4 linked regions of the Xenopus tropicalis genome follow. The protein of the gene in region 3 interacts with the protein of the main gene of each other region in a pairwise test. Links are inferred from orthologs where the notes say so. Each region holds a gene or a part of one and is shown on either strand. Other genes may lie near its edges.

Region 1 (4,034 bases), on a different chromosome or scaffold from region 3:
TGTAAAAAATTTGTGTTACATTTCCTTTAAGCAGTTTAATACTGCTTTCAACAACAAATAGATTTACAAATGACTTTAAAAACAATGAAAATGTTAAACTAAAGAGTAATAGGAAATTGCTTAAAATTACCTTCTTTCATTATGCAAATTTTTATTTTGGGGTTTACCTTCTCCCATGCCAGCAAACATATGAATTAAACTATTGTACAAAAAGTACTATTATGCTGTACATTATGGGTGCTAAAGATGTAGTGTCTTCTTTTAATGAAGTTACTGCATGGGATCTACCACCACATCATGTGTTACATGACAATTTTTTTTTAAAATGTAAGTTAACTCCCCTACCCGCTTATGTAGTCTGGTAGCAAAGACAGGAATCCTACACTCTAAGTATTAAAACTTAATATATGAATTCATTCACTTCTCAGCAACAGCTTTAGCCACTACTAGGCATTCACCTTGATTCCTTTTCTGTCTGTAACAAAGCAACAAATAGTTGCATTACTTTCTGATAGTGCTCCATAAAAGCAATTGATAAAATTTGGTATTTGTGGTGTACTATTATAAAAGAATATGTGTTTTGGAGATGATCTGCCCCGTTATCTTCTGAGATGCCTCTTTATTGCTGAAGAAACAAAGGCTAATGGTCAGGAGGCGTAATGGGAAAAGAAGATGATGGGCACTTTAGCATTTGAAAGTACAATTGCTTATTTCTTTCTGCATTTCAGCTTTTGTCATTTTTCAGAGAAAGGAGAGGGCCTCAAAATATTAATATTTTTGAAATTGTCATTAATTGGAATACAATGCTTGCATTTTTTTTATTGACTGTTAAGATGGACTGTGTTGTATGGATTTCTCTCTTCCTGTATGCCAAGTAGCTTTCAGTTCATTCTTTTTCTTTGTGTCTTCAGAGCTGTGACACGTTCCTACTACAGAAATGCTGCCGGGGTTCTCCTTCTCTTTGATCTTACCACACGGCAATCTTTTGATAATGTCACTGAATGGCATATGGAGGTAACTGAGCGGACTCAAGCCAAACCAATGGTGTTCATGCTGCTTGGAGCAAAGAATGACCTGAAGGAGAAGCGAATGGTAACCCGGGAGGAGGCCCAGAGACTAGCAGAAAATCTTAGTGCTCCTTATTTAGAGACCTCTGCCCGAACAGGGAGCAATGTGTCTGCTGCACTTTCACTTTTGTGCAGGGAACTGCTTAGAGCTGCTCGTTCGCAGGCCCAGGTATCAACAGATGACAGTAGTGGGGCCTATTGTACAAACAAAGAAATGCAGAAAAACCAAGAAGCAAAATGCACATGTTGAAAAAAAAACCAAAAAAAAAAAAAACAGAGAGTGATTGTGCCTGTTAATGGCAGTTTTGGTATTAATCTCACTGCCGGAGTTTGACAGAACTGATGCCATCAGCACTTTAACACTCTTCACTTTTACCTGGACTGTTTCCATGAATGGACAAACAGAATCAGTAGAAATAGTAATTACATCAGCCATGTTTAATTAAACAAACAATCCTATGTATATACAAAAGGTAGTCAGGGGACCAATTAACCCTTTCCCAGCAAGAGGGTTGTAAACTTTCTGTCCCCAAAGTTAGACTCTTCTCTGAAGAGGTTGCCTTCACGCTCATCTGTCATCTGTGGCAGTTTGAAGGTGTCAAGATCAGAATGGCAAGGGATTGCAGAAGTCCAAAGTCACAAATGGATTTTATTTCTTTTGTGTTTTCTTAATTAAAGCCATTCTCTGTTAGAAAAACAGAGGGGATGGTAAGTAGGCAGGTAAACATAAACAGACAAAACAATTTGATTTGAAAAAAAAAAAAAAAACTAGTTTAATTAAAGTTAAATTAAAATGAAAATGCTGACACTGATATTGTTCTTTAGAGGTATGCCAGCCCCACCTTGCCTGCTCTCCCAGGTGTTCAATATGGCACCAATGGCTAGTTGCAATGTGTATGTGCCGAACCTGGGCAACGGCAGGCAAATGCTGAACACGTGAAAGAGCAGCTGAGATGAAGCCACTGCACCTCTAAAAAATATCAGCACCATAACACCATGTTTTTAAAGGAAGAGGGACACTGTCCTGGAATTCAAGGTAAGCAGGCTGTGGTCATCGGGAAGTCAACTTAAAATTTTGCATCCCCCAGATTGGCCTTTTTTTGTTCTTTGCAAGTAAAAATGCAACATTGTGCAAATTAAAACAAAGGTAGCAACAAAAAATTAATAAATAAATAAATTAAAAAACCCCCACAAAGGCTTGGGTACACCATTATAACCCTTGGGTACACCATTTTCTGTTACATAAGCCTTTACATGTCATTTCTCCACATCAATTCTTAAACAAGACTGCCAGTCAAAGCCAACACTGACCTTCTACCATAATGGATGGATATGATTTTCTTACTTGTTCCCTATCAGAGCATGTTTCTCTCTAACTCACTTAAAATGTATCCAAGATTCTAGCCACCCTTCATGTTCTAAAGCCATGACCACCATTATCCTTAAACCTGGCAAAAAGTAATATGGATTCATATTTCTTACTCTTAATGCAAACATCCAAGCCAAAGTTCTAGCCAACCCTTCAGTGTAAGGTATCTCAGATCGAATACACCCCAACAAATTGTTTGGGTGTATTGGATCTAATGTTTGGGGTGTAAGATGATTAAACAAATAAGTTATAATTTATTTGGAGAAATAAGGCACAGAGTATGGCACTGTATTTACCAACCTTTTCAACTAATGTGAGAGGATTTGGCCTACCAAATGTATATTTTATTTCCTAGGCGCTCAAATCCAATACGTCTACTGGCGATTTAATTTAGATCTTGATAACCCTAAAACTATACTGCAAGTGTTTAACTATACATTCAGTTCTCATATGCTACTCCAACTGAAGCTCCAGACACACATGCTTACGCTGCCACTGGAATTGATAGCACCCTCAAAGGCATGGATCCAAGCACTAACCATATGTCCTCTGAAGGGCCATACATCTTATGCCAAATTATAGGTTTATACTTTGGACTGGATAAAAGTCACAAAAGGATCAAATGAAAAAAGCACACTATTTGAAAATGGACAGCCACATTACCTGTTTATGTGCTTCAGTAGTACAAGCCTTTTTATAGGGCCGAATTTCTTCTGAACCAAAGCCTGGAATCCACATGTTCCACTGTCTCTCTGTGTAAATAGGAGCAGAAATTCAACATCTCAGACTTGTATGCTTGGTTTTACATCTGATGCCCGTGTCATATACTTAATAATCAAGAAGGAAGGCTCTCTCTATTTAACATTATCATAATAAGGGAGGAGGGAGAAAAAAATAAGGAAAGAAAAAACAATCATAACACTGTACTTTTTTTTGTACTCTGAATCTGATTTATAAGTGGTGTAATTCTTAAGCTGCACCAGCAGGTGACATTGTAATTTAGATAAAAACATTATTAATGTTATTATTAAAGGGCCAGTATACTCCCATTCAACAAGAGCATAATAAATAGAGCTTGCAATGAACATACTTTTCGCCTAATGTTTTAATCATGAAAGATCAATGTTTTTTGTTAAACAGGGCAAACAGGGAAATTTAAACTACTCCATGTTTAGTCTTTTGAGGTAGATAATTGAATTACTAGTACACATACAACCCCTCTGAATAATGGACTCCTGCTAGAAAAAATAAAGGGTAAAGGCAGTGGGTTCAGATTTTGAAGTGACAACCCCCCCCCCCCACATATATTTATTCATGAAAATTATAGACAATAAAAATCTTGACTGCTTTTCCCAAGGATCCCTTGTGCCAGTGCATGCACACTAATACACAGAAAATCTTCACTAATATTTATTTAGGAAAGTGTGATGTGTGATGTGTTTTTGCTGACTTTTATATTGATTTAATCCCACTTTTGCACAGATTCATCTTAGCTCATGACAGGGTTTTTATACATATTGAGAAAAAGCTGCTCATGTGTATCTTATCCAAGTGGGACAGCAGAATTAAACAAAATACAAAGTTGGCATCATATGGTT
Region 2 (4,984 bases), on a different chromosome or scaffold from region 3:
ATTCTGATTAGTAGACAGGAAAGCTGCTGGACCTGTTCATGCCCCTGGTTTTCATTATTTGCCTTTTGTTTTCTGCCTCTTTCCACCTTTCAAATGGGGTCACTGACCCCAACAGCCAAAAACTATTGCTCTGTAAGGCTACAATGGTATTATTATTGTTACTTTTTATTACTTATCTTTCCATGCAAGCCCTCTACTATTCATATTCCCATCTCTCATTTAAACCATTGCCTGATTGCTAGGGTAAATAAGACCCTAGTAACCAGATAGCTGCTAAAATACCAAATGGAGGGTTGCTGAACAAAAAGCTCAATAACCAAAAAAAACCCATAAAAAATGAAGACCAATTGCAAATTGTCTGAGAATATCAATGTCATCATATTAAAAGTTAATTGAAAGGCGAACTACCCTTTTAAATACAAATTAGCATTGGCCTTGTACAGTGGTATGAATATGCTGCAGTTTGATGTTCTGTCTCCGTACCATCTGAGTTAGGGAAAGGTGCAAAGCCATTGTATTGTACACAAAAACATAAGATTTAAGCCATGTGGTAGCTAGTTGTTTACACCTGTCTATACCAGCATGATGATTTCCCTTTAAGGGTAAAGACACGCGGAGCTACTAGTAACAGCTACTTGTCACGGCTACTAAACACCAGAAAATACCCTGCCATAGAGAATACTGAAAATTGCCTCTTCTTAAAACAGAGACCATTTGCCAGCAAATGATCAGCATTGTCTATTTTAGTAGCCACGGCAAGTAGCTGCTACTAGTAGCTCCATGTGTCTTCACCCTAAGGGAGCTCCTGTTAGTTGAAAACTGCACCGGCCTGGGGTAACTGATCGAGCGATCCTCTTCTATGTATGACTTGCATATGCACATTAGAGTGAAACTTAAACATGCTTTAAGCAGAATTCTTCTTACAAAGGATATAGTCAAAAGTGTTTAACCCACAGTGGGCTAACTGCAACTTTTTTTTCAAGTTAATTTGTATTGCTTATTTTTGGTTTTTGGGGGTGCAAAAGGAACTGAGTTTGTGTGCACAAGAACATAAGCATTTGATTCCCATTCTCCATACTAGAGACAAGAAGTAGTCAGCACAACAATTCGGAAATGTTTTCAGCACTGCACGTTTACCACGTTGGTGTTCAATAGGAAATTAAACTTGAAAAGCATTGCAGTTATTAATCCATAAAAATGTGTTTATTGCACACATAGGGCATTACAGCAATGTTCCTAGCCAATTCAGGCCTTTTATCAAGCCATTCTCCATATTATTATATAGTTATTTGTCAAATTGAAACCTAGGGTGCTGCTTGTGTAACTGATCTTTTCTATTGAAAGGAGCTGTATCAGTTCAGTGGTTTGTTGCAGTATGGGTATGATTATTTGTTAAATCTTGGTAATGTGCTTCCTTAGCAAGAGCTATACAAGCTTAGCAAAATGCTACTCCTCCAGTGCCACTCCCTAGCCCTGCTGTCACTCCCTGGAGGCTTCTAGGGCTTACTCTGCAATCCCATTGCGCACAACATGATGTAATGCTCCTGGTTATTTTGACTGCCTAATCTCCCATAGTTGGGTTTGTTGTTTAAAGGAGAACTAAAGATTAACAAAGAAGTAGGCTAAAAATGCAGCACATCATGTTTTGAAGTGCTGTGCCAGCCCAAGGAAACCTATATTATATAATTAATATAAATGTCATTATACAAAGCAGAGTAATTAATTCAGATTTTCAATACGTGGCAGCTCAGAAACCAGTGCATACAAATTAAATGACAAGCCCTGTAGCATCAGTTTATATGACAGGCCAGCCTAATTTTCTGCTTGATTTGAGAGATGCTGAAATGTTAGGCTGGTGCAGTTCAGTATTTGAAATATGGCATATCTGGTAGTTAGTCCTCCTTTAAGAGTTACAACCCATTTGTTGTAATTGTCTATTTAAAAATGCAACTGGGTAAAATAGACGGCGCAAAATAAAAAATATTTCTAATATAGTTAGGCAAAAAATGTAATCTATAAAGGCTGGACAGACCAAATGTCTAACATAATAGCCAGAACTGTACTTCCTGCTCTCTAACCTCTTAGTTAGTCAGTGACTTTAGGGGGTGCCACATGGGACATAACTGTTCAGTTAGTTTGTGAGCCCGTAGGTCAGATTCAAATGCAAACAAACTGAACAGTAATGTCCCATATGGCCCCCCTCAAGGCACTGATTGGTTACTGACAGCTTAGGGAGCTGTAAAGCAGGAAATAAAGTATGTTTGACATCTGCCCACTCCAGCATTTATATATTAAAATATTTTTGATTTTGCACAGTCTATTTTACCCAGTTTTATTTTTACACTGAACTGTTTCTTTAAAGAGAATCTGTACAAAATGTAATTTCCCCACACAGAGATAGATACAGCGTCACTGTACATTTTGTTTAGCTGGGCAAAGCGGTTTGCCACAAAATCATATCTGCCATGTGCTGTGGGCCAAAACGTGTATCATGGTGCAGAAGTTAATGGAAACATATCGCATACATGAAAATGAATATGGCCCAATCTCTTGGAAATAAACTTTCAAAATCCATTACCAATTCTTTACCTTTTCTGAAATCTAGTTACTTTTTTTAGTGTCTCTCTACATGCTGTAGTGTGAATAAGGGTATTGAGTATTTTATAAAAGTTCTGTTTTAGAAAAGAATTGATTATTCTTATAACTAAAGTATAATATTACTTCTTCTATAGCCCACCACAGTATTATGCTCTCCTGATGCTATTCCTGCGCCAGTCTTTTGTAAAATCACTTCCTACCTTTAGGCTGGTCCCAACAGGAGCATCCTGCACTCAAAACTATACTATACTCTGTTACTTGATCATTTTAACACACAGTTTATTTCACAACACAGAGGATCAGGGTAACACTTTCTTGATGTAACAGCCGACACATACGTCTTTTTCTCCCCCCCCTTTTTTTTTCTTTCTTTCCTTAATTCCTTTATTCATTTATACTCCCGGGTCCCCTCCCCTTCCCCTGTTTGATTTACAAAGGTTAGAAGCAAATTAATACTACTGTGGGCTCTGGGAGGCTCATGTGGCGCGACTCCTTCCGTCCAGACACACAAGCTTCCAACAGTATATACCCGCAGGCAATGTAAGATCTATGCATACATATGTCTGTTATTATAGATATATAAACCTGTATACATCCTGTAACTATGATTGCGTATTTCTATATTACTTGAATTGCTTTGCACAAATACGTTCAATAAACTCAAAAAATGAAACAATTTGGCCCATGTACTCAAGTATCTATTATTGAAATGGCAATGCCCCCTGAAGTAGTATGTCATGAAATAGTTAAAATGTGTGCCTTTTAATTTTGTCAGATGTTTAAAAATTGATGGGGAGGGGTAACTTGATACTTGGAAGTAATGTGCCCTGAAATAAAGTTGGTAATGTTGAATGGTGATTATTTATGTATACTTTATTCATTATTCATCCTTCCATTTGTATTTTGCTAGATGTTCTGGATGGATATAATGGCACAATATTTGCTTATGGGCAGACATCATCAGGAAAAACCCATACCATGGAGGTAAGACCCAGTCATTCACTGCTGGTAGTATTCATTGATAAAACTGTACTGATTTTATTCTGAACGTCTCTTAATTTTTTTCAGGGAAAACTCCATGACCCAGATGGAATGGGGATTATTCCCAGGATAGTGCAAGATATTTTTAATTATATTTACTCTATGGATGAAAATTTGGAATTTCATATAAAGGTAATACTGTCTGTATCAGCTGTAGTAGTGTGTTAAAGGAGACATATCCTATTAAAATTAAGAATGTACCAGGGAATTGTACTCCTCTAGATATAGAAGGATTGTGCTAAAAATGTTGTGTTTCGGACTGATTTATTGAGAAATTCCCCCCAAACCCCACTAGCCCCGCCCATCCGTTTCACTTCCTGCTGGCTGAATTCTCTGGATGTGCTGGGGAGCCGGCGGCCCTCCGTACACTGCCCTGTAGGATAGGAACCAATCAGCAGCTAGGCTGACCTGATAGGGAACTGAAGCCTGTCTGTGCTTGTGTGACTGCAGGGCTGTGATTGGCTCTCCCCCTCCTACTGTGCTTCTGGCAGGGACCGTTAGGACACGCCCACCCCTCATTTTAAACTCTGACAGAGAAGTGATAGGATCTACAGGGAGCTCCAATAAAGGGGCCATTTTTACAGATAGGATTAATTTTTTAGCACAAAGTGAAACCAGCACCATATATTATTCATAATTGCCTACAAAATTAGGGTTTTCCCATTTATCTCCTTTAATGTCTCCCATAATGCTTTGCCAGTTGGCTTAATGACTACATCACTGGGGAAGTCATGCAGAACCTATGGGTGTTATTTTTTATGACTGTAAACTGCTCAAATTGGTTGTAAATCTACCTGAACTCATGGCTAGCAGCCAGACAATCAGAACCACATCACCAGCATGGGGCAGCAGCAAATGATATTTTCAAACTGGACAGATCATCTGTAATATGACAGGACCGACCCCCCAACCTGACCATTGTGCCCAAACTGTTTTGGTCATGGAACTCCATGGTGACCTGTTTATCAATCTAGGGGGCATTACACATTATAGTGTGTATATTAAACTGTATAATCTAATTTAGTGTTAGTAACTGCACAGTGTGTTGTACCCACCGAGCTGCTTGTATGCTTTCTACCCAGAGGAAAGCTCATCATTGTAGGTGATTGGAGTTGGGTTGATTTACGTATGTCATGTGATTATAATTCTGTTCTTCTCCTTATTTTATAATGTTTGGTTTAGGTATCATACTTTGAAATCTATTTGGACAAGATAAGGGACCTATTGGATGGTGAGTTTTTCCTTTTTAGCCTAACCCCTGTGTGATTAATGTGTATGCTTTAATTTAGTATGCACTGCCCTTTATTGATATTAGTTTTTTGAATTATCGCTTCATAAGAAAAAA
Region 3 (5,763 bases):
ACAATGAATACCCTGTCTGTTTTTAAACAGGCAACCAGAAAATGCTACCTGCTGATTGGTTGCTATAGGTGATTAGACCAGTAGCAAAATTTTCACAAGGGCATGCATGAGTATGTTAAAGACCTATGGTTGTATCTTGGCAATATGTTGAACTGATTGTGATGTTGTGTGACTAGGGAGTGAAAGGGTACAGTAAATAAATTCCCAAAGATATCATGTCAAAATAGTGAGGACTTTTTTTCTTTCATTAATAATTTATTTGACTTCATATTCTGCCTCTGTCCAACATGTGATTTATAGCACTACTTGGGTTTTAGGGTCAGTAACCAGAAAACAGAATGTGAAGCTATATTATTACAATTATGTTTCTATTTATCTTTCCTCTATTAGGGCTTTTACATACAAGCATTTTTTACTATGTTTCCCTGCGCTGGATCATTCATACATTCCAGCACAGGGAAACACAGGAAGAATCGCAGCCTACTCGTTTGTGCTCACTGAAATGCAAGGGCAGACCGCAGGTAGAACGCATCAATCTTTCTGGCTGGTGCTTGAAGCTAGCCTGAAGTTAATAGAGAGGTAAACACAAGAAACTTAGGTGTTAAATCAGACAAGTGCAGTGGCCTATACCAACATACAGCAATTAGCTTTTTAGTCAATTAAAAGTTAGAAAATAATAGCAAAGATCTGTTTGGTTGCTATAAGTAACTGCACTGAGGAAATGTAGCACATCTGGTAAATCAGTTGCAATAGCTTCTTTGTGCCTGAGACCAACAGAATGATTTTTCATTTGTCAGTAAAACATTTGTACGGCCTTCTGGCTGTTCACCCTTTTGTTGTGATGGTTAGGCCAGGCAATAGCTATCATGGCTATGATGAGGGCATTCATTTCAGTACCTAATGCCATAATCCACCTACTGGCAAACACCAGCCAGAGAGATTGTGCAGCTATCACTGCAAACCTGCACTTGATAAACAAATAGAACTATTGCTCCAGCTAATGAATAATAATCTTTACTGTATAGAACTGATGGTTTGGTAAGTACTACCATCTATTCTTGACAATATTTGTCCATATGGTGATCATTTTTTACATTATACTCAACAGTTAAGCAGTTTTTCCTTTAAAAGATTATTTAGGGAAAATGCGGCTTTAGAGAATTAATGTTACAGGGATACTGTCATGATTTTTATGGTATACTTTTTATTTCCAGATTACATTATTTACATAGCAAATAATTCACTCTACCATTTAAAATGTTATTCTTGAACCAACAAATGTATTTTTTTGTTTTAATATTGGTGTGTAGGCAGCAATCTCAGTGCACTGTGCCTGAGTCTGAGCTTTCAGAAGAAGACAGGGCTACACATTAGAACTGTAACTGGAGGAGTCCCAAGATGCACTTGGATTTCCTACTACTGAGTGCTATTCTGATATCTAGTGGGAGCTTCTGTCTTGCTACCTTCTACTGATTGGCTGCTGGGAGGGGGGGGGGTCATATCACTCCAATTGCAGCTCAGCAGTAAAGTGTGACTAAAGTTTTTCAGAGCACAGGTCACATGGTTGTGGAACCCTGGGAAATGAAGAATATGGCTAGCCCCATGTGAAATTTCAAAATGAAATTTAAAAAAACCTGAGTTTATAAAAAAATGGATTTAAATGCAGGGTTTTTCTGGTGAAGAAAACACCTGTTTCCCATGACAGTATTCCTAAAAAAGCCAAGGAAATCCTGAAAATGTGATCTAAAATATGCAGATTTTTATTGTATAGTTGGAAAATGTGTATTTTTATGTGTGGATTTAACTTAATATATTGGCTGCTTTACAAACTACTGGCTAGTAGTACTGGCTAGATTGAGGCTAATAAAGATATACTTTCCAGGACAGTACAAAAATAGATTTTCAAGCAAATATATATATATATTTATAAATAATTAAAAGCTGGTCATACAGAGACAACATATTCGTTGTAAGAAAATGGGGATACCAGTAGGAAAAATCAAAGGAAAGCGAGGGCCTTTCTAGTGAAGACAATTAGAGCCTTATAGTGTAGTATAAATAAAACAGACTGCTGCTGATAGTCTGCCATCTCTGAGCCCTTAACCCACTTTCATTCTTTGCTGAAATCGGAGTCCCCTTCGGCCACATTGGTCGTTTTCTGCGCAGCATCCCCGCCAGTCTGTATCCGCACCTGCTCCACACGCAATGCTTGAGATGGAGGGTTGCCATGGTTTCCGGTGGTCACATGCACGCTGCTGGCTCCCATTTGATTGACAGGCGGCTGCGGGCGGGAGGCGGAGGATGCAGCACTTTGTATGCTCAGTTGTATTTGGTCTGCGCCTTGTGTGAGCTTGGGGGCCTGTTAATCCGGGAGAAGTGACAAGGACAACACAACAGCTTCACCATCTTCCCCGGAAACGATAAGGGTTCGCAGCGCAGCCTAAGCGTGCCTCTCATACCCTTATTGCCGCCGACTGCGGTGTCGCCACAAGTGAGAGCCTGGGGAGAGCCAGAGCCACAGCGTGGAAGAGGGATTCATCATCATCGCTGTAATTAAAAAGAAATCTTTTAAACCAGTGCCCACTTGCATGTTTGTATTGTCGGGCAGGGACCCGGTGCCTCAGGCCGCTGGACCTCGTACACCCTGCTGCCCTATGATCACTGCCTAATTGCCCCCCCCTCTTTAGCGTGTCATGTGGGCTCGCCTAACTTTCCTGTCACTTAAACCCCATCACCTGCTTGAATGTTAATAATGCCAGTTCATACGGATGAGCAGCGCCTTTTATTCTCATGTCGGTACCCCTGCATTATGCTCTATGAGTAGCATGGTACCCCATAGTAGCCAGCTCCCTGTGCCTACTGGCAGCCAATAGAGATCTCCCAGTGACATACTGCTGCTGTGCACCAAATCCAGCTTCCTGCCCCGCTACCCCAGGAATGAGTATAGAAATCCCGGAGGGGCTGACGGAGCTACTGCAGAGCTTTACCGTGGAGGTGTTACGAAAACAGCCCGAGGACCTGCTGGAATTCGCCTTGCAGTACTTCACCCAGCTCAAGCAGTCTAAGAGTCAGGGCGGCCCCCTCAGCCATGGCATGGAATTACCTTTCAGGCTCACTAAAGGGGTCATTTTCGCCGAGGAGCCCATGCAGACTGACTCTGAAAACGGCGAGGAGGAGGAGGATGACGATGAAGAGGATTTTGTGGGTATGTGCTAATGAGGAACCCTGCAGTTCAGGTGTCCGTCCTTTTGTCCCTGCCTTCCATATGCAGGGCATAGGTTTTTCCACCCTTTTCTCTCAAGCTGTGACTGAACTAAAATTGCCAGCTGTAAGGGAATTCTCGTGGTGGTGGTTTCCCCACAAAACTCACTCACACCGTATTGTTATTATATGTTTACGTTTTAGGGGACAGAACTAAGGCCACACCATACTGTGTATAAATTACAGAAACAAAACCTATATTTTCTCAGTCATATTTATAAAGATAAGATGCCTCATGGTTAGATATTATTTTATGGTACTATAACAAACACCTAACCTTTTGCTTGATCAGCGACATTTATATGAGATCCACAGTATATACATTCTTTGCCCATCCAGGCAACATCATGAGAATATTAAATAGTGCTCTTGTTATTGTAGTATTACTATAGCTGTCCTTCACCTATTGATGTCTCTACTCTCCCCTCTATTGTCCTAAGACACAGCATTATTAAAAACTGAAATCTATGTCAACTGCTCTGAGAATTAGAACAAAATATGATATTTTTAAAGTTACAGCAAATATTTGTAGTTGCTTAAGGCTAAAGACAGACATGGCAGATAAATGCCAGTGACTTCATAAGGTATTACCTTTTTTGCTGTTTCCTACAATCACATTTACCTGTCGCTGCGCACACAGGTGGGCATCAGATGCTGAGGCTGAAGTCTGCCCCGTGGGTCAGGTGGGTGTAATTGAAGGGAATATCAGGAGAAAAGGGCAGTACAGGCAGGCTTGTGCTTTTCTACCAGAGGAGGACCAATACATGTCATTACCTTAAAGGAATGTATTTTATTCTGCTGCCTTTCAATCATAGGATTTATTTGTCTGTGAAGACCCAGGTAATTGTTTCAATTTCTACTAAGAGTCCCAAAAAATTAAGAAAATGAAAGAGACACATTCATCTTGCGTGTTAGGACAAGGGTACTTTGGGATCCTTGTCAGCCAGTTTCCACCTAAAAAACAGCTAGTGTGCCTTTTCTTACCACAGTAGTCTGACAAACATCAGTCCTTGTGCATTTACCTGATTGCCAATTACTATAAGAGGAATAAGATGGAATTGGCTCTTTAAGAGATATGGGGAGAGGGCCTTGGTATGTCAAGTAGTTCTAGAATGGAGGCCCATAGGAGAGTTTTTATAATGCAGGGTAGCAGGGCTAGAAATAGGAGTAGGCAGAAGAGTTATGTGCCTCTGGCATAGTTAAGAGGTGTGACTAGGTGAGATAGGAGTGGTTGATGGGTGAGGGAGAGCCCAGACAGTGGCAGGGTTGGTGTGCAGAAGAAATTGTGAGTGCAGGACCAAATAGTCTTTCCTTGGGCGTCAATAGGACACTTGCTAAGTTCTAAGAAATAGCTTGGTCCATGTAACTATCAAAACTTTATTACTCTAAATAAAGTGTAAAATGATTTTGTTTATTAATTAAAAAACAACAACAACAAATATGCAGTTTGCAGATGGCACAAAACTATGTAGGCCAATTAATTGTATTCAGGATATGGCATCCTTGTGCATGATATGGGCAATCTGGGTAAGTAAATGGCATATGAAATTTAGTGTTAAATGTAAGTTTATGCGGCTGTGATTTAAAAATTTGTAAGCCATTTATACCTGAAAAGGGACCATATACCCCCATCATTTTAATATGAACTCATTCAGTTGGGCTTATGTTAAAAAGGAGCATAAACACTATCTAAATAAGGATGCATTTTAAACACTTACCTGATTCTACATATTGAAAGAAAACCTTTATAGCCAACCTATATTCAACTGAACCATTTCTTCCCCCCATAGGCTCACATTTTTATACAACCTTTTTCTATTGTGAAGTGATGGATTCTGGGACTTGAAGTGCTTCTGCTTTCAAGAGAATCTGTACATCACCCACTTAGCACAAGGGACAAGAGAGCTGAAGATATACACCAAAGGAAGGAAAAATAAAATATGTTGCCTACGGAAAAGAAAAATGTAAGGGTTTCTGTAACAGTGACCAGTGAGGAGGGCCTACACGAAATATGAAGCATTAAAAGATAAAAAGTGTGAAAGATGGGGTAGCTAGAAAAGAGGAATGGGGAAAAGTGAAGATCATTAAAATGGGTAAGAACAGTGCAAATTATTGTACAGTGGAGAAAATGTGTCTGGGCAAGAAGGCACAAGTGAGAATGTTAAAAGTTGGGGGGAAAAAGAAAAGGTATGTGGGGAACAGGAAGAAAGACTAGTGAAGAGAAGAGAAAGACAGAGGCGCATACCAAGGGGCTGATTTACTAATCCACGAATCCGAATCCCGAATGGGAAAAAACCTGATTGGAAAGGAACATTTTGCGACTTTTTCGTATTTTTTGCTATTTTTTTGTCGCCGTCACGACTTTTCCGTAGCCGTTACGACTTGCGTGAATTGTCGCAACTTTTTCGTAGCCGTTACAACTTGCTCGTATATTGTCGCGACTTTTTCAAATTGAGCGCTCGTAAACGATGATTTTGGAAGCCTTCCATAGGACTCAATGGC
Region 4 (5,473 bases), about 57 Mb from region 3:
CACACACATATATATATATATGTATATACGCATGTATGTATGTATATATATGTAATAGGTTCAAAGTGAAAAACTTAACTGAAAGTCACAGATCTGCCCCAAAATGACCCTGTTTCTCCCACCATCTATGACTGTGAGGGTGCCCTCGTCTGATTGGATACATATGTGAATATTACTGCGGGGGTTAAGAGATATTTGACCTTCACGTGTAGGTCTGAGAAGCGGGTGTTTAGGGTCATTTACCCGCCGGGGCTGCAGGCTTCCTGTCTAAGAAGGTAGGTCCCACCTACAGGCGACTCGCCTTATTGGCCACAACGGCCGCCATGGGGTGCTGGGTGGAAGGCCGACAGGTGCCGGGCCCCGGCCAGATTCCATAGATTATAGAAGAACGTTACATGAAATAGTTTAGGGTAGCAGAAGCCAAATGTTGGCACTTCAGTTATTAAAGAGGTGCAACTATTGGCACCCCAATATGTCCCACAGCTGACAATCTACGCCGTAGGAGGCCCTCAGAATTAGCCCCTGTATAAAAGCAGAGCCTCAGGGATCCGTATACGCAGCGTCACCCCCTAACGAGCCCGTCTTTCATTGGCCTGCGCTGAGCGCCCCCCCCACACACACACAAGTGCTGTGCACGTTACATTATAATAGCATTCCATTCATATAAAAACTAAAGGAAGATCAAGAGACACGTGATGTAAAGAATTAGGGTTAGAAGGGCCACAGAGGATAGAGGCTGCTGTACTCTCCTCCTGTAGCCCGGCACATTCTACCCGCTGAGCAGTGATTGGCTGAATATCATCGCAGAAGCCACGGGGGGGGAATGGACACAAACGTCACCGTCCAATCTTTTATTAAAGGGAAACTATGCAAGGCTGCAGTTATAAATCAGGCGCTTTATTGGGTGCAGAAGCCACCAATTGCAATCGCTCATTCCTAATGTCTGCCCGAAGGAAAACCCTCTGCCTACCCACAATCCAACATGAACGCGTCACATGGTATAGGCAAATCCGTAAAGGCTATATGCACCCACATATATAAATATATAGAACTTTCTCAGGCCCCACCCATTTAGCTGCTCCTTCTGATCTGATGGAGAATAAGCATTTAACATGGAGGGAAACCATTCAGAAAGCACTTCAATGGCTTCAACTCCCCAACACCGAGACTAAGATGGCCGCTATCCGGTCACAGCACCAATACGGAATGTTGTGCCCATTAATTACGTCATGTGACAACGTCAGTCTCATTGGCTCTCGCTAACCATGTGACACCCGGATAGAACCTGCTCAGGTAAATGCGATTAATACTGAGGCGTAAAGGGAAAATTGTGCTGCGCTGCCTCTCCTTGTACCCCCCCCAGGAAGAATGTAAGGCGTAACGACGGCCAAGTCCAACCGGAAACGCCCCGAGAGTGGTTACGCTCAAGTGATGCAATTCATAGCAAGGACTGGATTTCTAGCTTTAGTATCAGAGCAGAGGGTCGGGAATTTTTTTTTTTTTTTTTCTTAAAAGTTATCAAGGACAAGAGAAAGACACCACGGATGCTGAAACATAGGGTTAAAGACAAAAAAAAAAAAAAATGGAGATTTTTTTTGGGTAAAACTGGCACATTGAATTTAAAAATCCTTCTACAATGGGTTATGGAGAAAGAGAAGGCTGATGGGGGGAGGAAGAGGTTCAGATTAAAACAGTTCGACGTTTATATACTATGTCAATTAATCAATAAAAACCAGTGGCCGGCTTGCTCAGATGAAAATGGTTAAAAAAAAGAAACCAGGCCCCGCCCCCTGAGGGCTGAGGCTCTGCCCCCAAGGTTCTGACTCTACCCCAGAGGAACCAGTCACATGTTTAAATAATTCTTGGCCCCTCAAATCTGTCAGAGAGAGAAACAAAAGTGTGGGGAAGTGGGGGAGAGAGAGACTTGGGGATCTCCAGGCCCAATCAGAACCAGCACCACCAGATCCAAGATAAAACAGGATGGCCGCCATGTCTGATCTGCACCACTAATTAAAAGCTTGGAAGGAGGGTAGTGTGAAAGGGAAGAGGTGGTTGTGTGCCTGTCAGTGGTGCTCGCGCCAACGCTCTCTCTTGCTTGGGGGGAGTGTTTGGTGACTGCTCCGCCTTTCCCGGTGCAAATTAGAAGTCAGAGAATTCCTTAGCGCACTTCTCTGTGATTGAAACTCGGATCTCTTCTTCTTCATAGTCATCAAAATTACTTGTGTCTCCGGGACCCTTACATTTAGGGATGAAGGGAGCTTCCACCTGGGGGGGGGGGGGGGGGGGAAAAAGAAAAATTAGGGAATTTTATACAGGAAGTGAGGGAGTCTGGGTAAACACCATTCCTCATCTCTAAGCTTGGGCAACAGAAGGGGTGGGAGAAAGAGTAGCACCTAAAGCACCAACGTTCACGGTGGCACCCTGGCACCCCCCCCCAACTATCTGGCATTTCCCTACAGCCGTGCCGCGGGCACAGGAACTGAGAGCTGGAAACAACACCGCACATTCTGATTGGCTCTGTGATAATAAAGACATTCGTCTGGTAAAGGGCTTACTATGCTGCATTACGCATCGCTTAGGGATAATAGCAAAGCATTACGGACACAGCTCAATGGATACTTCTCAGCTAATCCTTAAAGTGATACACACACTAAAAAAAAAAAAATACTTTTCAAATTATTAATGTACATTGTTATCTGTAGGTTGTGTTGGTCATTTTTTTGCTGATAGGACTGCTTATGTATGTAATGTGTGTGATGTAAAAGCATCAGGCAAATACATTAAGGCAAAATTATAAATAGTATGCAAAGGCAGTGTTACGACTAGCGATGCACCGAATCCCGGATTCAGTTTGGGATTCGGGCCAATCCAGCCTATTTTCAAAGTATTCGGCTTCGGCCAAACCAAAAAACGTCTTCGGGGGGTTTGGTGCATCCCTAGTTATGACAATTGTAAAAAGGGTTTCATTTCTGTGTTAGTATCTCTTTAAGTGTCTCTATAATTAGCCGTTATTTTGTCCTGCTGATGACAGAACAGGCTGACACCTATCCTGCTCTCCCCGCCTCCCATTGGTAATTTAATATGACATCACAACCAGCACACCTACCCCTCCAACACCTGCTTATTAGGCACAAGTGTTTGTAACAAGGCTATTGTTGAAGCAAGACCTGAAATACATAATGCATCATGCAGAGTTCCTGTCACATGACTTCCTGAAACTGGTGTATTATAATAATGTACCCCCTGTTAGAAAATAACATAAGTCACCTGGGAGTTCCATGACCTGTATATAAGCACTCAGCCTTCATGCTTTTATATGATCATGGAGCTCTCTCGGTGATAATATCCTTATATTTTACAATAGGGGGTACACTATATATTTTCCCTTTAACTATTAAAAAAGGACTTTACTTGAAGTGATATTGACCCGAAAAAACTACTTTTTGAAATATGAATCTACATAAAAATTTACCTATAGGTCATGTTGATCATTTTTTGCTGATAGGGCTGCTTCTATAAGTAATTGTTACTTGTTGTTCCTAAACCTGACTGTTTTGCCAACCTGACTGTCCCTCTCAACCTGTCAGTTACAGCTTCTAATGCTAACCGACTCCTGCTGCACCAATATGGCCGCCCCCTCATAGAGGAACGTGGGGGATCAAGTGGGGAATGTAAAAGCATCAGAGAAATACTTTTATAGCAAAATTATAAATAGCATGCAAAGGCAGTGTTATGATAGATGTAAAAAACGTTTCATTTCTGGTGTCAGTATCACTTTAAGATTAGGAGACTCAAGCAGAGGCAGAAATAGATTTGGTGTTTGCAAGAAGAGGGTCATGGTTCCTCCCTAGACACCAAACTGCTGTTAATAAAATACTTTCCCATTTCAGGAATGTCCAATCAGGGTTCCCCTTCCGCTGCTCAGTCAGAACTCCCAGAATACCCTCACAGTTTGGCTGTCGGTGGATGCTGGTAGTTGCCGATTGGACATTCCTGAGTACAAGTACATCCCTACCCAACAAGCCTACCAAAACCAGACAGTAAAGGTCTCTCCTTCCACTGAGCTTCCCCGGCAGCAATACCATAATCCCGTGTCCATCCCATTCCCCCCGGGCACCTTTTTCTGGTAGACTGCAATCCAGTCCGTGGTACTGAACCATTTGTGTCCCTTGATGTCTGTCACACCATTCTTCAAATTCCCAAATCGCTTAGTCAGATCGACTTGCAAAAGGTTTCTGAGGAGATCCTTCAAGTCGGAGCTAAAGTGAGAGGGGAACCGGACCTGCGGGGATAACAGCGAAAGAAAAGAACGTGAGAAAGAAATGAATTTGAGCCTATGGGGGGTGGAAGAGGATGAAAAGAAAAGATCAAAGAACATGGCTGCTCCGAGCAAGATATAGGAACAAGCTGGGACTCACCTTCCCCGATACTATTTTTTCATAGATCTGAATGGGCTGATCAGCGAAAAAGGGAGGATACCCCGCAGCCATCTCATAAATCAGGACTCCTAGGGCCCACCAATCCACTGCCTTATTATAACCCTGAAAGACATAACAAAAACAGTCATATAAGCTCCGAGAGATATAAGGCATCTTTACACCATAATGTGTCTGTGTTACAAGACTTTCTGTTATAGGGTTGGCCAGTGCTGCAGAGATGGCCAAGAATTCCTAGGCAGCTTCTAAGCCCTCCAGTCTCTGAAATATGGGGGAATGTGGACTTCCTGGAAAGACCAGCTTATTGTTATATGGAGTTAGGCTAATGTCCCCTAATTTGTCTGACTCTCATAAGCCAGGGCTTTGTTCATTTGGGCACTAAATAACTGCTAAAACCCCATCTATGTAATACAAGTCCTAATGTAAAAGTGCAGAATACTTTGAAGGCAAGCAATTTAGCTGTGGGTTCTATCACCGAATCTGCACCATGACTGTAGTGTTGGGTATGAGGCTGATAAACCAATGTCTTTAATATGGAAGGCCCTAAATACGCCAGGGCCTGGGATGTCATTCATTTTTTCCCATACATTTCTGTGACCAGGAGTATAAGGAGCTGGCATGGAAGCAAAAGATGCCAGTGTCAGATGTAGCGGGCATTGTGGGAGAAAACCAAGAAAATCCTCTCAGGCCTTCTAACCTGCCGAGTAAATCAGTCTCAGCCCTACTGCCCCACTGCCCAGGGCACGCTGCCATAACAGCTGGATCTCCACTATCAGACTCAGTTTGAGCTACATAAAGGAATGTAGGGGGGAGCTCCGAGCATAAAGCCAAGAAAATACCCTACAGGGAGGGTCATACTCACCTTGCTAAGGATTATTTCTGGCGCCAGGTACTCTGGTGTCCCACACAGGGTCCAGGTCCTCCCTTTCACTCTCTTTGCAAAGCCAAAATCCGTCACCTGGAAAACAGCATATAAGTGTGATTCCATATCTGGCTTCCCAAGTCGTACCATGCCCCCAGTTCATTACTGAAGGTTA

The links.
Region 1: the proteins of prkar2b (region 3) and taf12 interact in binary tests that used the Homo sapiens proteins (3 or more experiments, as listed by UniProt). The two-hybrid records come from large-scale screens. The link is inferred for Xenopus tropicalis from reciprocal best matches to the Homo sapiens genes PRKAR2B and TAF12.
Region 2: the proteins of prkar2b (region 3) and kif5b interact in binary tests that used the Homo sapiens proteins (3 or more experiments, as listed by UniProt). The two-hybrid records come from large-scale screens. The link is inferred for Xenopus tropicalis from reciprocal best matches to the Homo sapiens genes PRKAR2B and KIF5B.
Region 4: the proteins of prkar2b (region 3) and prkaca interact in binary tests that used the Homo sapiens proteins (3 or more experiments, as listed by UniProt). The link is inferred for Xenopus tropicalis from reciprocal best matches to the Homo sapiens genes PRKAR2B and PRKACA.

What each region holds. Positions count from the first base shown.
Region 1 is NC_030678.2:78,439,767-78,443,800, forward strand, and holds the end of taf12 (transcription initiation factor TFIID subunit 12), read right to left. Parts: exon of another isoform or gene 3,189-4,034; coding exon 3,100-3,188; exon of another isoform or gene 1,753-3,099; coding exon 1,717-1,752; 3' UTR 1,491-1,716; downstream 1-1,490. Other genes in the region: rab39a (ras-related protein Rab-39B), read left to right, coding at 912-1,317. UniProt on the Homo sapiens protein: The TFIID basal transcription factor complex plays a major role in the initiation of RNA polymerase II (Pol II)-dependent transcription.
Region 2 is NC_030682.2:22,996,099-23,001,082, forward strand, and holds part of kif5b (kinesin-1 heavy chain), read left to right. Parts: intron 1-3,508; coding exon 3,509-3,582; intron 3,583-3,666; coding exon 3,667-3,771; intron 3,772-4,821; coding exon 4,822-4,870; intron 4,871-4,984. UniProt on the Homo sapiens protein: Microtubule-dependent motor required for normal distribution of mitochondria and lysosomes. Can induce formation of neurite-like membrane protrusions in non-neuronal cells in a ZFYVE27-dependent manner.
Region 3 is NC_030679.2:76,691,480-76,697,242, reverse strand, and holds the start of prkar2b (cAMP-dependent protein kinase type II-beta regulatory subunit), read left to right. Parts: upstream 1-2,538; 5' UTR 2,539-2,937; coding exon 2,938-3,205; intron 3,206-5,763. UniProt on the Homo sapiens protein: Regulatory subunit of the cAMP-dependent protein kinases involved in cAMP signaling in cells. Type II regulatory chains mediate membrane association by binding to anchoring proteins, including the MAP2 kinase.
Region 4 is NC_030679.2:134,178,980-134,184,452, forward strand, and holds the end of prkaca (cAMP-dependent protein kinase catalytic subunit alpha), read right to left. Parts: intron 5,395-5,473; coding exon 5,299-5,394; intron 4,542-5,298; coding exon 4,419-4,541; intron 4,283-4,418; coding exon 4,118-4,282; intron 2,266-4,117; coding exon 2,140-2,265; 3' UTR 1,491-2,139; downstream 1-1,490.